2 linked regions of the Coturnix japonica genome follow. The protein of the gene in region 1 interacts with the protein of each later gene in a biochemical or structural test. Links are inferred from orthologs where the notes say so. Each region holds a gene or a part of one and is shown in the gene's direction. Other genes may lie near its edges.

Region 1 (8,022 bases):
CCTCCATAGGATTAGCGAGGTTAGTCAATGAGCGTGATCCGATTTGGGGTTGATGCTATTCTTGGCTGGGTTTAGATGCAGTGGCACGGGCGGATTCACGGTATGAGGCGGCTTTCATGGGATCAACGGGAGCATAGTGGTAATCAGCCTTGTAGCAGCTGGGAGCCAACTTAACCAGCTTACAGGGATGGGCACTGCGCTCACCATGGGGTGCCACCAGGGGCCAGGTGGCTTTGGGGTTGGGGGGGTCCTCCTGCATGGCACAGGACGAATCAGACTTTCACTTCTAGAGGTGTAGAAATGAGATCTGAGGGTGTTGATGCTGGAAGAAAAGGGTGTTTGCTCCCCAGTGCCAACATCACCACATCTGGAGCTGCCCCTCACTTCATCCCAGAGACCAAACAAGCTGAAGGATGTCAGATTCCCCCCCACCCCCCATGCCCAGAGCACATTTCTCTTTTTCCCCAGACAGTTCCCATCGTGTTTTTCAATTGCTCTTAATGGAGATGTCCATCACGGGGCACATTAACCCAGATATGATTCCAAGCATAGAGATGCACTAATGACCATTTAACCCATGTACGTAGCCTGGCTGGCTGAAGACTATTTTTCTTTCCTTCCTCCATTTTTCCTTCTCTTTTAACCCCTGGGCCAGCTGCTGGATAGCTGTTTATTTTGAGCAGGGCACAAAGACCTCTTTTAGGAGTAAGTGCTACGGTCCTACTGCTGCATTATGGAGCATAAAGCACAGTAATACTCAACCAATTACGTTAATGCTGCTTATTTGCTCTTGTTACAGAGCGTAATTGCTCACCCAGAAGCTATTAAATTAGATAAGAGCAGAACAAACAAAACTATTCATTTTATTCACTATATATTTATACACCTACCACTCCAGAGCGAGCAGTCACCACGCTCAGCAGCACGGATTCCTCCTGTGGGTGTAATGGAGGTGATGTATTGCAGAAAGCAATGAAGGTCGGGGAACCCCCTGAATCCTCATGGTGACCCACAGATGTTGTCACCACTGGCTTTTGGTCGCTCCCATGGGTGAGCATTGGGCGGATAATGGGATGAACGGGAAGCCCCCAGTTGCCAGCTGGGAGGAGAGTTGGAATCCACTGAATCTTGCATTAAAACTGAAGGGAAAGTCCTATTTAAGTGCTTCTTTTCGCCTGAGTGAGGATGCAGAAGTTGGAGGGAAGCCTGGCACAGCTCCGTGATATTGGGAAACCCTAAGAGTTTAAGCAAGCATCGATCCAAACCAGGCCGGAAACCACATCGGTGGGGAAGCAGTGCAGAAGTGGTTTGGTTATGGGGGGAGAGGTAAAGCAGATGAGAAGGGGACTGGAGGGACACCGAGGGGGTGGCTGTCCCCACCCAAGTGTGGGCTGCTGGCACCATCTAGTGGGTGCTGCCCCCCCTCCCCCCACTGTGCTGCAGTGTCACCGCCTCCACTGGTGGCCCAGGGTCCTTCTTGGGGACAAGAACGTGGCCACCCCATTGGGGATGTGGGGTGGGATCCTGTGTCCCCCAGTGAAGGAGGTGGGGATGGTGTCCCTAATGCCACAGTGTTGTCACACGGGTGATGTGACAGAGCTGCTGGTCCTGCTCAGCGTGCCTTCGTGCTAGGGGAGGGGATAGCGAGCCATGCGGGACACCCAGGTATGGGGTACTGGAGTCAAGGGGGGGTCTGAAGACAGCCAAGGGGGCTAAGCTGGCTGTGGGGCTGTGTGCCTCCAGCCGGGCTGTGTGCAGGGCTGGGGAGCATCCTCATCACCCCACGACCCCACATCCCCTTCCATGACAGAATCCCACATCACAGAGCTATAGGACATGGGGACGCAGCGGGGGGGGGGGGGAGCTGGGCTGAGCTTCCCGTCCTGGCGAGCCGCTGCCTATGACATCAACTCTGGTATTTCCAGTCCCTGCGGGGAGAAGGGAGGAGCGCAGAGGGAAGGACGGAGAAAGAAAGAAAGAAGGAAAGAAATAGGGGGGTGGGGAACGCAGCTGTTGGGGGGACCCGGGGGGGGTCACTTCGGTCCCCGTGGTGGTGCCCAGTGCTGGAGCGAGCCCTGCTCGGGAGCTCGTCCCTATCCGTCCCCGTGCTGGCCCCATAGTCTAGGCAGGGGAGGAAGGGAGGGATAAAAGGAGAAAAGGAAAAAAATCTCCACGTGGAAAACGCACAGCCGGCACTTAAAGCAACAGGGAAGCAGGGACGAGGCTTTGGGTGCCTCTCCTTCCCCAAGGGGGGTGGGATGAGCATCTCCGGGTGTCCCCACATTGACTCTAAGGGGGAAAATCTCCACTTTGGGGCGCAGTTAAAGACTGAGAGGGCACTGTGCCCCTCACCCCCGTGCTGGAGGGAGGGGGGTGGGGGGGTCTTGGGTCCACATCCCTCTTCTGGAGCCATTTCACAGTGGTTTTATGTCTGAAGGATTGGACTCAAAGCACTGGGTGGGGGAGCTGGGGGAGGGGGCTGAAGGCAGAGGGTGAAAATCCCACTGTGGCTTTTGATCCTGATTGGGAACAGTGTCATTTATTGTGATTTAGGGGATATATGGTCGGGGGATTGTGCTTCAGGGGGAACAATAGTTTGGGGAGGGGGTATGTGGGGGGTGGGTATTTTGGTGGGGCAGCATTTGGGGGAGTGTTTGGGAGAGGGTATTTGGGGGTTAGGGTATTTAAGAAGGGGGTATTTGGGATGATGATTGGGGGAGGAGTTTGGGGAGGGGAGGCTTTATGGGGGCGTATGGAAAGGGTTTAGGGAGAGTATTGGGGGGTATTTAGGGGGAGGTGTTTTGGGAGGGTGGATATTTGGGAAGGGCATTTGGTGGGGGGTGCTTGGGGGGGTTTCTGGCTGGGAGTACTTGGGAGGAGGGTGCTTGGGGAAGGTATTTGGGGGGGGGTACTGGGGGGATCTTCGGGGTTCATATTGGGAGGGATATTGGGGAGGGATCTTTGGGGGTTCATATTTGGGGGGTATTGGGGGGGGGGATGGGGGAGAAGGAATGTTGGGAGGGATGCCGGGGGAGGTCCCGAGGTGCGGGGAGGCGTTGGGGCGGGATCTGGGATAGGGACACTCGGACCCCCCCCCCCTTTCTCAATCCCAATCCCTCCTCCCTCTGCCGGGCGGGGGCGGAGGAGGCGCTTAGGACCCGGCGTCGCCCCCCACATCCCGCCGCCCCGCAGCGAGCGCGGCCGCCGCGCCGAGCCGAACCGAACCGAACCGCGCCGGGGATGGGCAGAGGCGGCGGGCCGGGGGCCGGGGGCCGCTAGCGGGGCGGCGATGGGGCTCCGCGGGGCTTGGGGGCTGTGGGCGGCGCTGAGCTGCGCCGTGTGCCTGCTGGCGGCCGGGCAGGAGGCCGCGGGGGGCGGCGTAGGGGAGCCGTGGAGGCAGCTGATCCAGTGGGAGAACAACGGCAGGGTGTACAGCCTGCTCAACAGCGGCGCCGAGTACGTACCGCCGGGCCCCGAGCGGCCGGGGGGAGCACGCCTGGTGCTGGGCCGGGCCGGGGTACGGCGGCAAGCGGCCCCGGTGCGCAGCGCATCCGAGACGGTGCGAGGGCACACGCGGCACCCGTTCGGCTTCGGGCAGGTGCCCGATAACTGGAGGGACGGGCCGCTGGGGGACGGCGGCGGGGCCGGGGCGGCGCAGCGGGCGAGGGCGGCGGGGAGACCGCGGCAGCCTTCGTCCTCATCATCATCATCCTCGGCCGCCTCGTCCTTCGCCTACGCGGCCGCGGGACACGCCGCCTACCCGCAGCCGCCCTTCGAGCAGCACGAGGCGGCCCCGAGGGCTTACGACGAAGCTTACACGTATTATCGAAGCGGAGGGGGCGGTGGGGTGGCGGTGGCGGCGGCGGGGGCCGGGGTGTTGTACCCCTTCCAGCCCCGAGCCCGCTACGAGGACTACGGGGAGGAGCAGAGCCCCTACAGGGCGCAGGGCTTCTACCCGGAGCGGCCCTACGCTGCCCCGCAGGATGGCTTGGACCGCCGCTACTCGCACAGCCTGTACCACGATGCTGGGACGGTCCCGGAGCACGGCACTGCAGATGGGTACGGCACCAACCAGCGCGGCTCGGCCGTCACCAACGATAACCTCCAAGGTCCCGTCGGGTCCCAGCCGGTGAGCGGGACGGCATATGGGAATCAATACCAACCCTACGAGGCGCAGCCGCCCTTCAGGGCGCTGGAACCCTACGGGGCGGTGCGTCCCGATGTCTTCGTCCCGGCCAGGAGCCCCGAGGTGGCACAGGCTGTACCTGACAGCCAGGCACGGCTCAGCGTGGGCAGCGTCTACAGGCCCAGCCATGGAGGACGGGGTGAGTTGTGGGGCCCTATAGGGGTGAAGTGGGGCTCGGGGTGCTCCTGGCTCTTGGATGTAGCAGCTCTTTGCACCAGGGTCTGGTGGTCATGTTGTCATGGTCGGAGACCCTGTGTGATGTGGGAAGGATGAGCTGGGTGGTGGAGGATGAAGAGGTGCACATCCCAGTGTGGTCAGGCATAGAGTAGGTCTCTGCCATGACCCAGGTGTCCATGGAGTGGCTTGATGCCATGTCTCAGGTCCTGCCGTGTCCAAGGGGTTGGTCTGTGCCATGACCCAAGTCTTGCTTCGTCCATGGGGTGGACTGATGCCTTGTCCCACGTCCTACTGTGTCCGTGAAGTGGGGCTCTGCCTTGTCCCATGGGTCCATGGGGTTGGTCTGTGCCATGACCCAGGTGCTACTGTGTCCATGGAGTAGCTTGATGCCATGTCTCAGGTCCTGCTGTGTCTATGGGGTTGGTCTGTGCCATGGCCAGGTCCTGCTGCATCCATGGAGTGGATCTGTGCTGTGTCCCAGGTCCTCCTACACCTATGGGTGGCTTTATGCTGTGTCCCAGCTCCTTCTGTGGCCATGGAATGGGCTTTTGCAGTGTTCCAGTTCCTCCTACAGCTGTGGGTGAAACGTGTACCAAGGGATGGGGACACACTGTATTTGTGGGATGGTTCTGTGCCATGTCTCAATCATGGGGTGGCTCTGTGCCATGTTCCAAGTGATCCTACAACTTTGGGGTGCATGTGGTGGGTTGGTTGTGTGCCACATCCCAGGTCCTGCTGTGTTTGTGGGGTAGTTTTATGCCTTGCCCTGAGTCCTCCTGTGGTTATATAGTATATAGGTTATATAGTAGGTTATAGAGTAGATGTGTGCTGTGGGATGGGGACACGCTGTGCTCATGGGGAGGCTGTGTGTCGTGTCCCTTCTCACCCTACACCCATGGGCTGGACGTGTGCTCCATCAGCCCCGGCAGAAGGCCCAGCAGGGACACCACAGCTAGGAGCCCTACTGACCCCAATAGTGATGAAATCCTGTGGCTTTTGGCTTGAGCTGTGCTGAGTGTTTCACTCTGTGCTGAAACGTGAGGAGCAACAGCCTGGGGGTTCTGCTTCTTGCCTGTCCCATGGGAAACCTCCTCAGCTGGAGCCTCTGACTCAACTGACCCCATAACATCCAGCCCAGCCCTGGGTTCTGGGAAAAGCCAATCTCAGAGGGATCCTCCTTGGAGAAGCCATGCTTCGTCCCAGCCCCATTGCGTGCAAACAAGTAAACACGGCACCAGTGGCCAGCCTGGGTCAGTGAGAGGTCTGTGCAACCGTGTGGGAAAGGGTTTGGGGTGGCAACACTGGGATCAGAAACAAAAGGAAGGAATTAGGATCAGCGGAGCCACCAAGCAGCAAACAAGGACCTGACATAAGGATGGTGACACGTCCCTGGGTCCCTGGGCTTCGGGGTCACCTGTGGAGCCACCCTCCCTTAATTGCTCCCAAGTTTTGGGAGCAGAACCAAGTGTTAATTATGCTCCTAATCTGCTCAAACACCCCTAATCCTGCCTGGCTCCGTGAGGAATGCTTGGCATCCACTGCTGGCTGGGCCACCTGGGGGTGAGCAGAGCGATCCCATCCCTGTGCCTTTATCCAGGTGGATCCGAGGGGCTGAGGGCAGCCTGTCCCCATCCCAACCAGCATCCTGGATGGACACAGCAGGAAACCCACATCCCTCCAAGCCTTCACGTTGGGTCCATTATCCCGACCCCATACCTGGAGCCGCTTCCTCCAGCACCAGGAAAGGCAAAGCTGTGCCAGGAGGAGGCTGTGGAAAATTCCACCCTGTGAGGGCACACGAGGCTCCATAGTCCCTCCAGGACCATGTTCCATAGGAGCAGTGCTGAACAAAGGGCTGATTTTATGGCTTTGACCTCATCTCCTTCTGGCCCCGCTCTGAGGGTGAAGGCAAGCGGTGTCTGTCTGTATTCTTGCCTGCTTGCAATCCTGAACACGTGAACTTAAAACAAAAACAACCCATCCCTCCTCCTCCTTCCATCCTCCCAGTTCTCTCCCATATATATAGATAGATAGACATTTTGTGTGTGTTTGCTTTTTGCCCTTTTCTTAAGGCTTTTCTACCTGTAGGAAGCATTTAGGATCACGAGCACGGAGCGGGTGTCTCTTTGGGCGCAGCTGAATGTTGCAGAGCAGTGAGTCAGCTCCTATGAAGCTGAAGTTGGCCAAGACATCTGGCTGTCTTTGCAGACAGAAAAGAGGGAAAAAGCCCATTTTCCCTTGATTTTTTCTTTCTTTCTTTCTTTGGCATCTCCTCTTTGCTTTCCAGCTTTGTCTGCCCTTCAGGTCTGCAGGTTGGTTGGCTGCTTGGACAGGAGTTTCCTGCTGAGGATGCTCAGGTTGGGATGCATGGGTTGGGGGTGCTGGGCCCCTCCTGCCTCCACATGGCTCCCATTAGCTTCATGTTGCTTGGATGGCTGTGTTTATACGTGGGTCACTTAGCAACTGCTGGGCCCAGCATGTCCTTCCCCACTTCCCACCACTTCCAATAAGACCTGTGGCCCCAAACCCTTTGCCTGGGGTGATGCTCCCCTCCTTTGTGACAGTTCTGCACATGGACAAACTGAGGTGGGAACAGTTGGGATGGATCTGGGATTCCTGTGTCTCTTCAGGTCTCTTTTGCCAGCTTGGATCCAGCTTTCTCCAATTGGTGGAGGTGCCCCATCCCTGGTGATGCCCCATCCCTGGATGGAGCTGTGGGCAGCCCCAGCTGCTGGGGGCATCCAGCCCATGGCAGGGGTTGGAGCTGGGGGAAGGGGGGGCTTGAAGGTCCCTTCCAACCCAACCATTCCATGATTCTCCCTTGCAGGGGGTGCTGGGGGAAGGAGCCAGCCCCACTCCCTTCATTCAGGCTCATAAAAGTGGGTTTTTTTCAGCTAAGCCCTGCACACCTGCACAAACAGCACGGCGGGGAGCAGGCCTGGCTTGGTATTATTCTAATTTTCACGGTGCATGAGAAGGAAATCTTCTCTGGCAGCTCCCCGGGCAGGCAGAGAGGCAAAGGGGAGGAGAGGAAAAACAAACAATTTCTTGCTGTGGTTGTCCCTTTTTGGAGGCAGGAGATGGGGGCTGCCAGGTCTGGGCTTACAGGAGGTGGAAAAGAGCATAGTCAGCAAAAAGGAGGATCTGACTGGGCTGTTTGGGGTGTTCATTGCCCACAAACAGGCTGGGATGGTGACCCTACAAATAACAGCAGGACCAGCATCGCTTCTGGGGGGGGGTGGAAAATCCTCTCTGGGAAAGGAGTCGGGTTTCTCTGCTGAGCATCCAAGAAGTTATTATAAACAACAGCACAGAGGAAGAGTTATTCTGTAAATCAGAACGAACGTTCCTCCTCCCAGCATCTCATCATGGGACGGGCACCAACTGTGGATGCTCAGGCCCGAAATGCAGCTCAGCCACCTCGCAGGGTCTCATTTGGGTGCTGTCGTGTTATTATTGTGTTTAACTTCAGCCCTGCTGCCTCCCCCTCGCCCCACAGACCCCCCTGGGCATTACATCAGCATCATGACCAAGCAACGGGGCAGGAAACGAGCTCCAATCGAGTGACGTGATCCCTCGAGGGAAGCCAGGCTGGGAAACAAGAAGGCATTGTTCTGCTCGCCCATGGAAAAGAAATGGGAAATAAAGGGGGGGAATGA
Region 2 (7,922 bases), on another chromosome or scaffold:
GACCATCAGACCAGCTTTTGCTGTGATGTGCTACCTGAATCACAGTCAACACAACCTCTCTGTAAGATGATCTATGACAATGATTATAGACTTTCCAGAAGTTGTTAATGTCATAAATGAATTTAAAAATGGTTTTGGCACAGCCAAAGTTCCCATAAGGGTTATTCCTCATTGTGTTATCACCCTAAGGTGTATCCTACTGCATCTTGTGTCAGATTGGTTATGACAAAATCTTTTCCATGATTTTAATGTTACAAGATAAAGAGACAAGTATTCATAATAAATATTTCACCCTATCTTTCATGTTATTTTCTTTTTAGACATTGCCAAAATGCTTTGTTTCCATGTGTGTTGTTTCCAACACATTCTTTCTGGCATCATCTGTTACCTCAATAAATAATACTGACTTTGTTATATTTTTCAGAACAAATTACTTTTACTATAAAGGTAATCTCCTTGAAATTCTTTACAGTAATGAACTGAAAGTAGAGTTTGGAGAGAAGTTACTGATGCAGCGTATTGTCTTCCTGTAGATGTGAATGAATGTACGGGAGAAAACCCTTGCTCTCAGACTTGTGTCAATACCTATGGTTCTTTTCTCTGCCGCTGTGAACCTGGTTACGAACTGGAAGCTGACGGAGTTAACTGCAGTGGTAACTGTCTTCAGTTATTTATTGTTTTGTTTTCTTTAATTCAATTATGCTTTCTTTTTCCAGTGTCCTGTTTTGCATATGCTTTTCTAAGAAGTCTTCTGATTTGGTTTATAGTTAGCAGCAGAATAACTGCAACTAATGTGATCTTCCTTCCAGTTACGGTATGCAGCAAATACCAAGAAAAGTGCAGTGGAGGAGGGCTGCAAAAGGTTGTAAAGAACTAAGCTAAATATTAAAAAGCTCCAAGATAACAGCAGAACATAAGGAAATGGTTTCCAGTGCTGAATGGGAATCGTACTAAAGCAAGTAAACCAGGGACAGTCCTAGAACATTTTTCCACAATTAAAGAAATACTCTTGCATAAAGCACTTTTCCATTTGTGGAATGTATGTATTCTTTTTGCTCTTATAATTTCACACATTTTTTCCCCTGCATGGCTCTGTCTGCACTTCAGAAATCATGTACCATTTCTTAGCAGTTATTGCCGATCTGTTCATCTCATAGCAGATGAAACTGCTTATGTCACTCTACTTTTTCCTCTCTTGTTTTTGTTTTTATTTTATTCCTTTTTTTTTTTTTTTTTAATTGAAGATGAAATGTATTTCTGTGCTTAATGTTCCCACAGCTTGAGAAAATTAGAGAACATGGCCAGTATTTTTTTGGAAGAAAAAACACTGGAAAATACTTGTTTTTTAATTCACAGTAAACAGATGTAACATGCTGTTTCTGAGGGAGAAGACGTGATATGCAGTATGTGTATGGACTAGAGTTCCCAAAGCTATTCTTTCATGCAAATCTCCTTATTCTGAAGGAAAGTACAAAGACTGAAATCTCTAAAGGGTCATATTATACATATTTATATATTTATATTTATTTAGTATTTATATATGTGTGTGTATATATATATTTAAAGCTGAAGCACATAACTTAAGATTTCTGCTTTCTAATGAAATTTCTTCTTCTAAGTTAGACTCCTGTGCCCTTGTCCATGCTTCTGAGCTATCTGGGTGTCTAAACCTAACCCTAAACTAGAGCCACAGAAACACTGCCTGAACAGAATAGCAGCAGTAAAGGTTGTGACTGAACTTCATTTATGGATGAAAGTTAAGCCAGCAATAAGGATTTTCCAACACCCAGATTTAGGGCAGAAAACCTTCCTTTAACCCTTCTATGCCAGAAAACACTTGTCACAAGCAGATCGTATTCCTCTGGATAAACTTCCTTCACTTCACAAGCAATTGCTAGACATCACTGAAGCTCACCAAGGAAGCAGTTCCAGTGAGCATAGTTGGTAGTACTGCAGAAGGGTTTAGAAATAGCAAAGGTATCTGCCCTGTGTCACTCATAAACAGAAACATATGGCCCTTGTGCCTTTATCTCCATCATTTGACATCAGCTGGGCACAGAGTCTATGAATCTGATGGTGCTGGAAGGCTGGGCTAGAAGGCTTAGAGAGCTGGGCAATGTCTTAGTCTCTTTATGGAGGCAGCCCCTGGTCCATGTTTTGTCAGGAAGGTGACTTTTTCAGAGAACTCGTTGAAGCAAGTGACATAACAGGAGTGTGCAGGTATAGAGTTCCCTTCATCTCTTTTGATAATGTAGTTGTGGACATAAAGCTATTTTAGTGTATTTGGACTTCAAACACTCTCCAGTACATCTGTACGAAACACCAGAAGTGGATAAATGGACGGAGTCCAATTTAAAAGAAAGGGAAATTCAGTCTGAAGAGTAAAAGTGATTTGCTCTGAGGGTCAATGTTAGAGCTGGGAATTCGAACTTGGGAGTTCCTGGCTGGGACTCTGGCCTTTGTTTCTCTCTTCCCCTGCACAGAAAAAGAAGGAAATGATTAACAGCAGCCTCCCTCATTCTAGCGCCTTTGCATGTGTTTTCCTCTCAGTCAGCCATGCTTCCATTGCAGCTCCGAAGTGCATCTTTCCCATTTGAAAATGGTTCCACAGTATAAGATTTCTTTTCAGTTCATGAGTAAAAGGGGAAAAGAGATCATAAACTGATTTTAGTCCGAGACTGGACAGACTGCTTAGCTTCCTTGGTATGTGGGAGATCACTGGGCCTTCCAGTAAGTTTGACCCAAGCTGGGATGAGCTCTGAAGTCTTGCTATAATGCATTACAAGTAACTGGCTAGAGGCTAAGTAACATAAAACAGCCAGGGCTGGCTACAGGATTTCTACTGGGACCCATAAGGCTCTGGGAAAGGGAAGTACACTCTCCAGGAAAAAAAAAAAAAAAAAGAAAAAAAAGAAAGAAAAAAGAAAAAAAATTAAAAAGTAAAAAAATACCATCAAGTCTCTCCTTACAAATTACAGTTGTAGCTTTGTAGTTGGAGCACCTCTATCTCTGACGTAAAACAGAACAGAAAATATGGCCAACTGATGACAGGTATTCAGAAAGAAAAATAAGTAAGAGTCATGCATCTTGCTGAGCAGAAGCTTTGGTTAAAATAATAATAAAATAAAATAAAATAAAATAAAATAATAAAGAATTTAGCCAAGATCTTGTTTAACAGCATTTTGCCAGGCTGCCTCAGAGCTCCAGGGAATTGGATGATGCCAGCCTCCAGCTGGGATGATAGGCACGTCTGGATGGCCACCTGCTTGTGGGACTATGCTTTTAACTGTGAAGCCAAAGATTCTAAACTTTGTTTTACCACCACAGACATGGATGAATGCAGCTTCTCAGAGTTCCTCTGCCAGCATGAATGTGTGAATGGGCCTGGTTCTTACTACTGTGTCTGTCCTTCGGGCTATAACCTGCTTGATGATAGCAGAAGCTGCCAAGGTAAGAGCATTGCAGCACTGATTAAAACCCAGAGGGACTAGAAAATAAGTCCAGTATCTGGAAAGTGGTTTTCAAGGACTCAGTTTCTTAGTCTTGGCATTGCATAGTGACATACTCATAGGGGCCAATTATGTGATTCTGGTGAGAACGTCATCACATGAGCAGTCCCAATGAGGTCAATTGGTGTGATGGTCTAAGGAGGGCTCTACTAATAACCAGCTACACAGTAAAGCCCTCAGATGCTCTCCTCTCTGCTGCACGTCTCTATTTAGTTTTCACTTTTTTCTAAGCTTAGAGAGCTTGAGCAGCAGTTTCTTTTTTACTTCTATAGCATTTTGCATAGGGGAGGACTCCAACCAGGGGAAATTAATGGGGTGAAAACTAATCTTAAAAGTGGGACCAGTTATCAAAAGCCACTTCTTATGGTGCAAGAGTAAATTTTTGGTCAATTCCTTACAATGGACATTGGACAGAAATAGCTGAATAGCAGTGTCTTAAGCTATTTTATCTTTTCTCTTGCTTTTTTGTATTTTAGATATCAATGAATGTGAAATTAGAAACTTCACCTGCACTCTACAGCAAACATGTTACAATATCCCAGGAGATTATAAATGTTTAGATCCAGTAAGATGTGAGGAACCTTATATCCAGATTAATGAGAAGTAAGTAATACCCACAGCCACAAATTCTAACTGCATAAAGCATACCTGGTGAGCCAACTAAGCTGCTTTTTGCAACAGAGCCATGAAGTATGTCTGGAGAGTTTACCATTAGTAAGCTTTATACAAATAATAAATTGCAATTCCTTACCAGGTCACCAGGTGGGATATGATAAGATACTCAGATGTGTGGGAAGTTAGACTGGAAAAACACTTTATCAGTGAGTAGAGGAAACAGCAAGGTTTGTAATGTACTAAAGACACTTTAATTATGTTACTGACTTCATATATGCTTAAATGCAGCCTGTTTGTTAATGTGAATATTTCCTGTAAATACTAACTAGCTCATGTCCAGGAAGTGCTTTAAAAACATTAGATGCTAGTTATAGCAGAACACAAGTAGATTCCTACTGCTCAAGGGTTAGATGTGTGGAAAAACAGCAGTCCACAGAGTGATTTGCACAGTCTGAAAACTGGGTAATTCTGAATGGGACAATTAGCTGTTAGTGTCTAAACTCAGAATCATCTGAGCAAATACATTTTGCCAGGGAGGAGGGACGGTGGTGCAATACACATTTCTAAGTAGTGCTCAGTTCTTTTACATTTTTGTAGGTACTTGCCTGGAGCTTAAAATATTTCAGCCTCAGATAGATCTCTGTGTGGTGCAAGTCATAGAATTTAATCCATGTTTGTTCTAAATCCAATTTCTTGAAATTACTTGGTAGCCTATGCATTTTATACAAAAGAAAGAGATGAAGAATTTAGTGCATCCCATGACAATGCACTTGTGTCCATACATTGCTTTCTGAGCTAGGCAGCTGAGGAGCAGACAAGTTTTGTTCAGCCAGTTCTGGGTCTATGTACCTTCAGAGGAGTTGAAATCTTAAACTAGGTCTTGAAATGTCTAAAGCCTCTGTATCTAAATGCCTCAGAGCCTAACTGTGGAGTATTTACAAATCAGCTTGCACCAAAGTTCTTGATCTCCAAGCTTTGTATTTGGTGGCTTTGGCTCCTATCTAGATGTGACTGCATTTAATTTGTGGCATATGTCTAGAAGTGGTCAGTATAAAAGTCAAGCAAATTCATTGCATCTGTGTTCTCTGTGGAAGGAATGGGGTGTTAATAATGCCAGGAACTGTTTTATGTAGAATGTGCCAGAGGAACTGTCTGAAGCTGGTGTCAATGATGGAGGTTATAGAAAAAATTTAAAAAAATAGACAGAAAAGCCTTATTTTCCATCCAGTAAATTCCCCAACATGGCTTTTATAAAGGGATATCCTGCATTTTATTGGAGGTCTCTGAAAAAATTAGCAGCTTGTGGCTAAGGGACATGGGTTGATGTGGTCTGCTTGGGTTTCCAAAGGTTTCTGAAAAGAGCCCTACTTCAGGCTTCTATGGAAATTAAGCAGCCGTAAGTAAGAAATACCTGGCACAGATGAATAAGAGGTTGAAAGATGAGAAGAGAATTGCAGAAGGAGCCTCAACGATCATGTTAAATTCAAATTCAGTGTATATTAATGTAAAGTAGAAAAACAATCCGAGTTTCACAAGTTAAATAAAATAAAAAGTAATGACCTGATCATAGTCCCTCCAAAGTGAGGTTTAAAGATTGTTCCAGATGGTTCCATGATCTGTAGTACTAAGTACAACTGTGTACCTATATCTTCAAGATTGTCACCAGTTTTGTTACCTGTGATATGACCAGACAAAGATTCATGAAGGGTGACAAAGACCATCAAGAGTAGGGAACCGGTTCCTTGTAAGAAGCATCAAGGTTAGGATTCTCCAGCCATAAAGAAAGTCAAATATGAAGCTATGAGCTGCATGTGGAGAATGAGCAGGGATTGGGTGTGCTCTCAAGAGCTGAGAGGATCAAAGTCAGCAAGGGGCAGTGCAGGGAGGGAGGTGGGCACGCAGGGAGGGACTTTGGAGCTATTGGCAGCAAGGTGTCATGGAGGTGTAAGGGGAAGTTGAACATGTCAGTGGGTAAGAAATACATTGAGGGAAGGCAAATATACAGAAGACATCTTTGTTTCAAGGGTTTCCTGAGGTTGCAGATGATTGGAGGCTGCTGGTGGAGATGTCATATGCCTGACTTGCTGTTCTGCTCCTCTTTAGAGCTTTGTGATTGATCTATGAGCTTTGGTTCCAATCCAGGAAGTCTCACTGTTTGTTTTTATTAAACCACTAATACAGTATTTATGTCACACTGTTACTGAAATGATCCAATAATTACCAGTTTAAATTACTATCAGAACAAACACACACAAGGCATTCTACACCTGCAGATCTTCCTTAAAGAAAGTATTGAATTTTCAGTGATCTAATGACAAATGTGACGCCAAGATACCTTGGCAAAACCTGGAAGACAAGAAAAAGAAAGCAGGGATGAAGGCAAACTGGAGTAGCAGTGCAGAGAACAGTATCAGAGAGAAAATTCATTACAAGCAAAATTGATCATTTTAGCTGTTGGCAACTTGATTCATTGGTTGATCACCTGATTATTTGCAGCTGTATTAGAATGTAAAGAATGAAGTGTTACAGGGATTTGTAACCACTGATGACAGTCCTGTCTCTCTGTTAGCCGCTGTATGTGTCCAGCTGAAAACCCCGGCTGCAGAGATCAACCATTCACCATCCTGTACAGAGTCATGGATGTTCTGTCTGGGCGTTCAGTGCCTTCTGACATCTTTCAGATGCAAGCAACAACTCGCTACCCTGGAGCCTATTACATCTTCCAAATCAAATCAGGGAACGAGGGCAGGGAATTCTACATGCGGGTAAGTCTGGCACTGGCTGGGAAAAAAACTGGAGTAGCTGCGTTTCTTTCTGACAGAAGGACTGTACTTTTATTGAGTGCCATTTAAACCTTCAGTATGAGATATTTTTTACACTCAGACTTGCAGAGCAACAAACTGGCCTGTGGGAGCTGCATTTGTTTTTTGCTGTCTTTCTTTTTTTCATGAAGTTAACTTACTCAAAGCAAATACACTCATTTTACTGGTCCAGGAGTGATCATGGATATCCCATGAACTCTTTCCTGTTGTAAAGTCATTACTAATCCCACTAGTCTGGGTCAAACTGGCAATTGCTAAGGCTGCATCGATGAGCACCGTTGCCCAAGACTGCTTTCTCCTTGTATTCAATTATCACATAGCCATCCATTTGTCACCTGAAGTACTTTGCTGGCACAAGCTGTCTTTTTCCTTCCCTGGCAGCACATTCCCGTGCGGGTGTGTAGCCAGCAGGTGGTGCCTGTTCCTTGCTCTGCACCCAGCAGGAGTGGGCAGAGCTGAGGGCATGGGATACACAGTGCTTGGGATGCTGCTGGTTCTCCAGGCAGCTCCTTCTCAACGCTTCTTAGGCCTCTCTTATCAGAGGTAATGTAAATGCTCCTTTTCATAGGAAAGCAGGTCCCACTTTATGTATATCAGCTACTGCTGGAAAACAAACTGCATTTAGTTTCAACCTCAGAAACTGATCTTTAAATACTCATAGTCTGCTGTTCCGGACAGACGTTTCAAAGCTCTGCTTCTACTTAGTAAAAGACAAATGTTCTAACATGCCTTCACATCTTTAAAGCTCTCTTCAGAGGGTGAGGTTTTGCAATGTTAACATATGCAATTTTACAGCAAACCCTGGTTCCACTCACGTAGGAACATCTGTTTTCAAAGCCCCAGTAACATAACCCCTTCCTGGAGTTTGCTGCTTCAAAGTAATAGTGTTTTTTACATCAAACTAAATAATATATGACTCCCTCAAAAAACAAGTGACATTTTTTATGCATGCTCTAAATCCACTTTTTATTTTTCC

The links.
Region 2: the proteins of LOXL1 (region 1) and FBLN5 form a complex in vitro, tested with the Homo sapiens proteins (2 studies listed by BioGRID and IntAct). The link is inferred for Coturnix japonica from reciprocal best matches to the Homo sapiens genes LOXL1 and FBLN5.

Annotation. Positions count from the first base shown.
Region 1 is NC_029525.1:1,660,599-1,668,620, forward strand, and holds the start of LOXL1 (lysyl oxidase homolog 1), read left to right. Parts: upstream 1-3,136; 5' UTR 3,137-3,289; coding exon 3,290-4,325; intron 4,326-8,022. UniProt on the Homo sapiens protein: Catalyzes the oxidative deamination of lysine and hydroxylysine residues in collagen and elastin, resulting in the formation of covalent cross-linkages, and the stabilization of collagen and elastin fibers.
Region 2 is NC_029520.1:40,338,778-40,346,699, reverse strand, and holds part of FBLN5 (fibulin-5), read left to right. Parts: intron 1-533; coding exon 534-653; intron 654-3,327; coding exon 3,328-3,450; intron 3,451-3,985; coding exon 3,986-4,112; intron 4,113-6,693; coding exon 6,694-6,889; intron 6,890-7,922. UniProt on the Homo sapiens protein: Essential for elastic fiber formation, is involved in the assembly of continuous elastin (ELN) polymer and promotes the interaction of microfibrils and ELN. Stabilizes and organizes elastic fibers in the skin, lung and vasculature.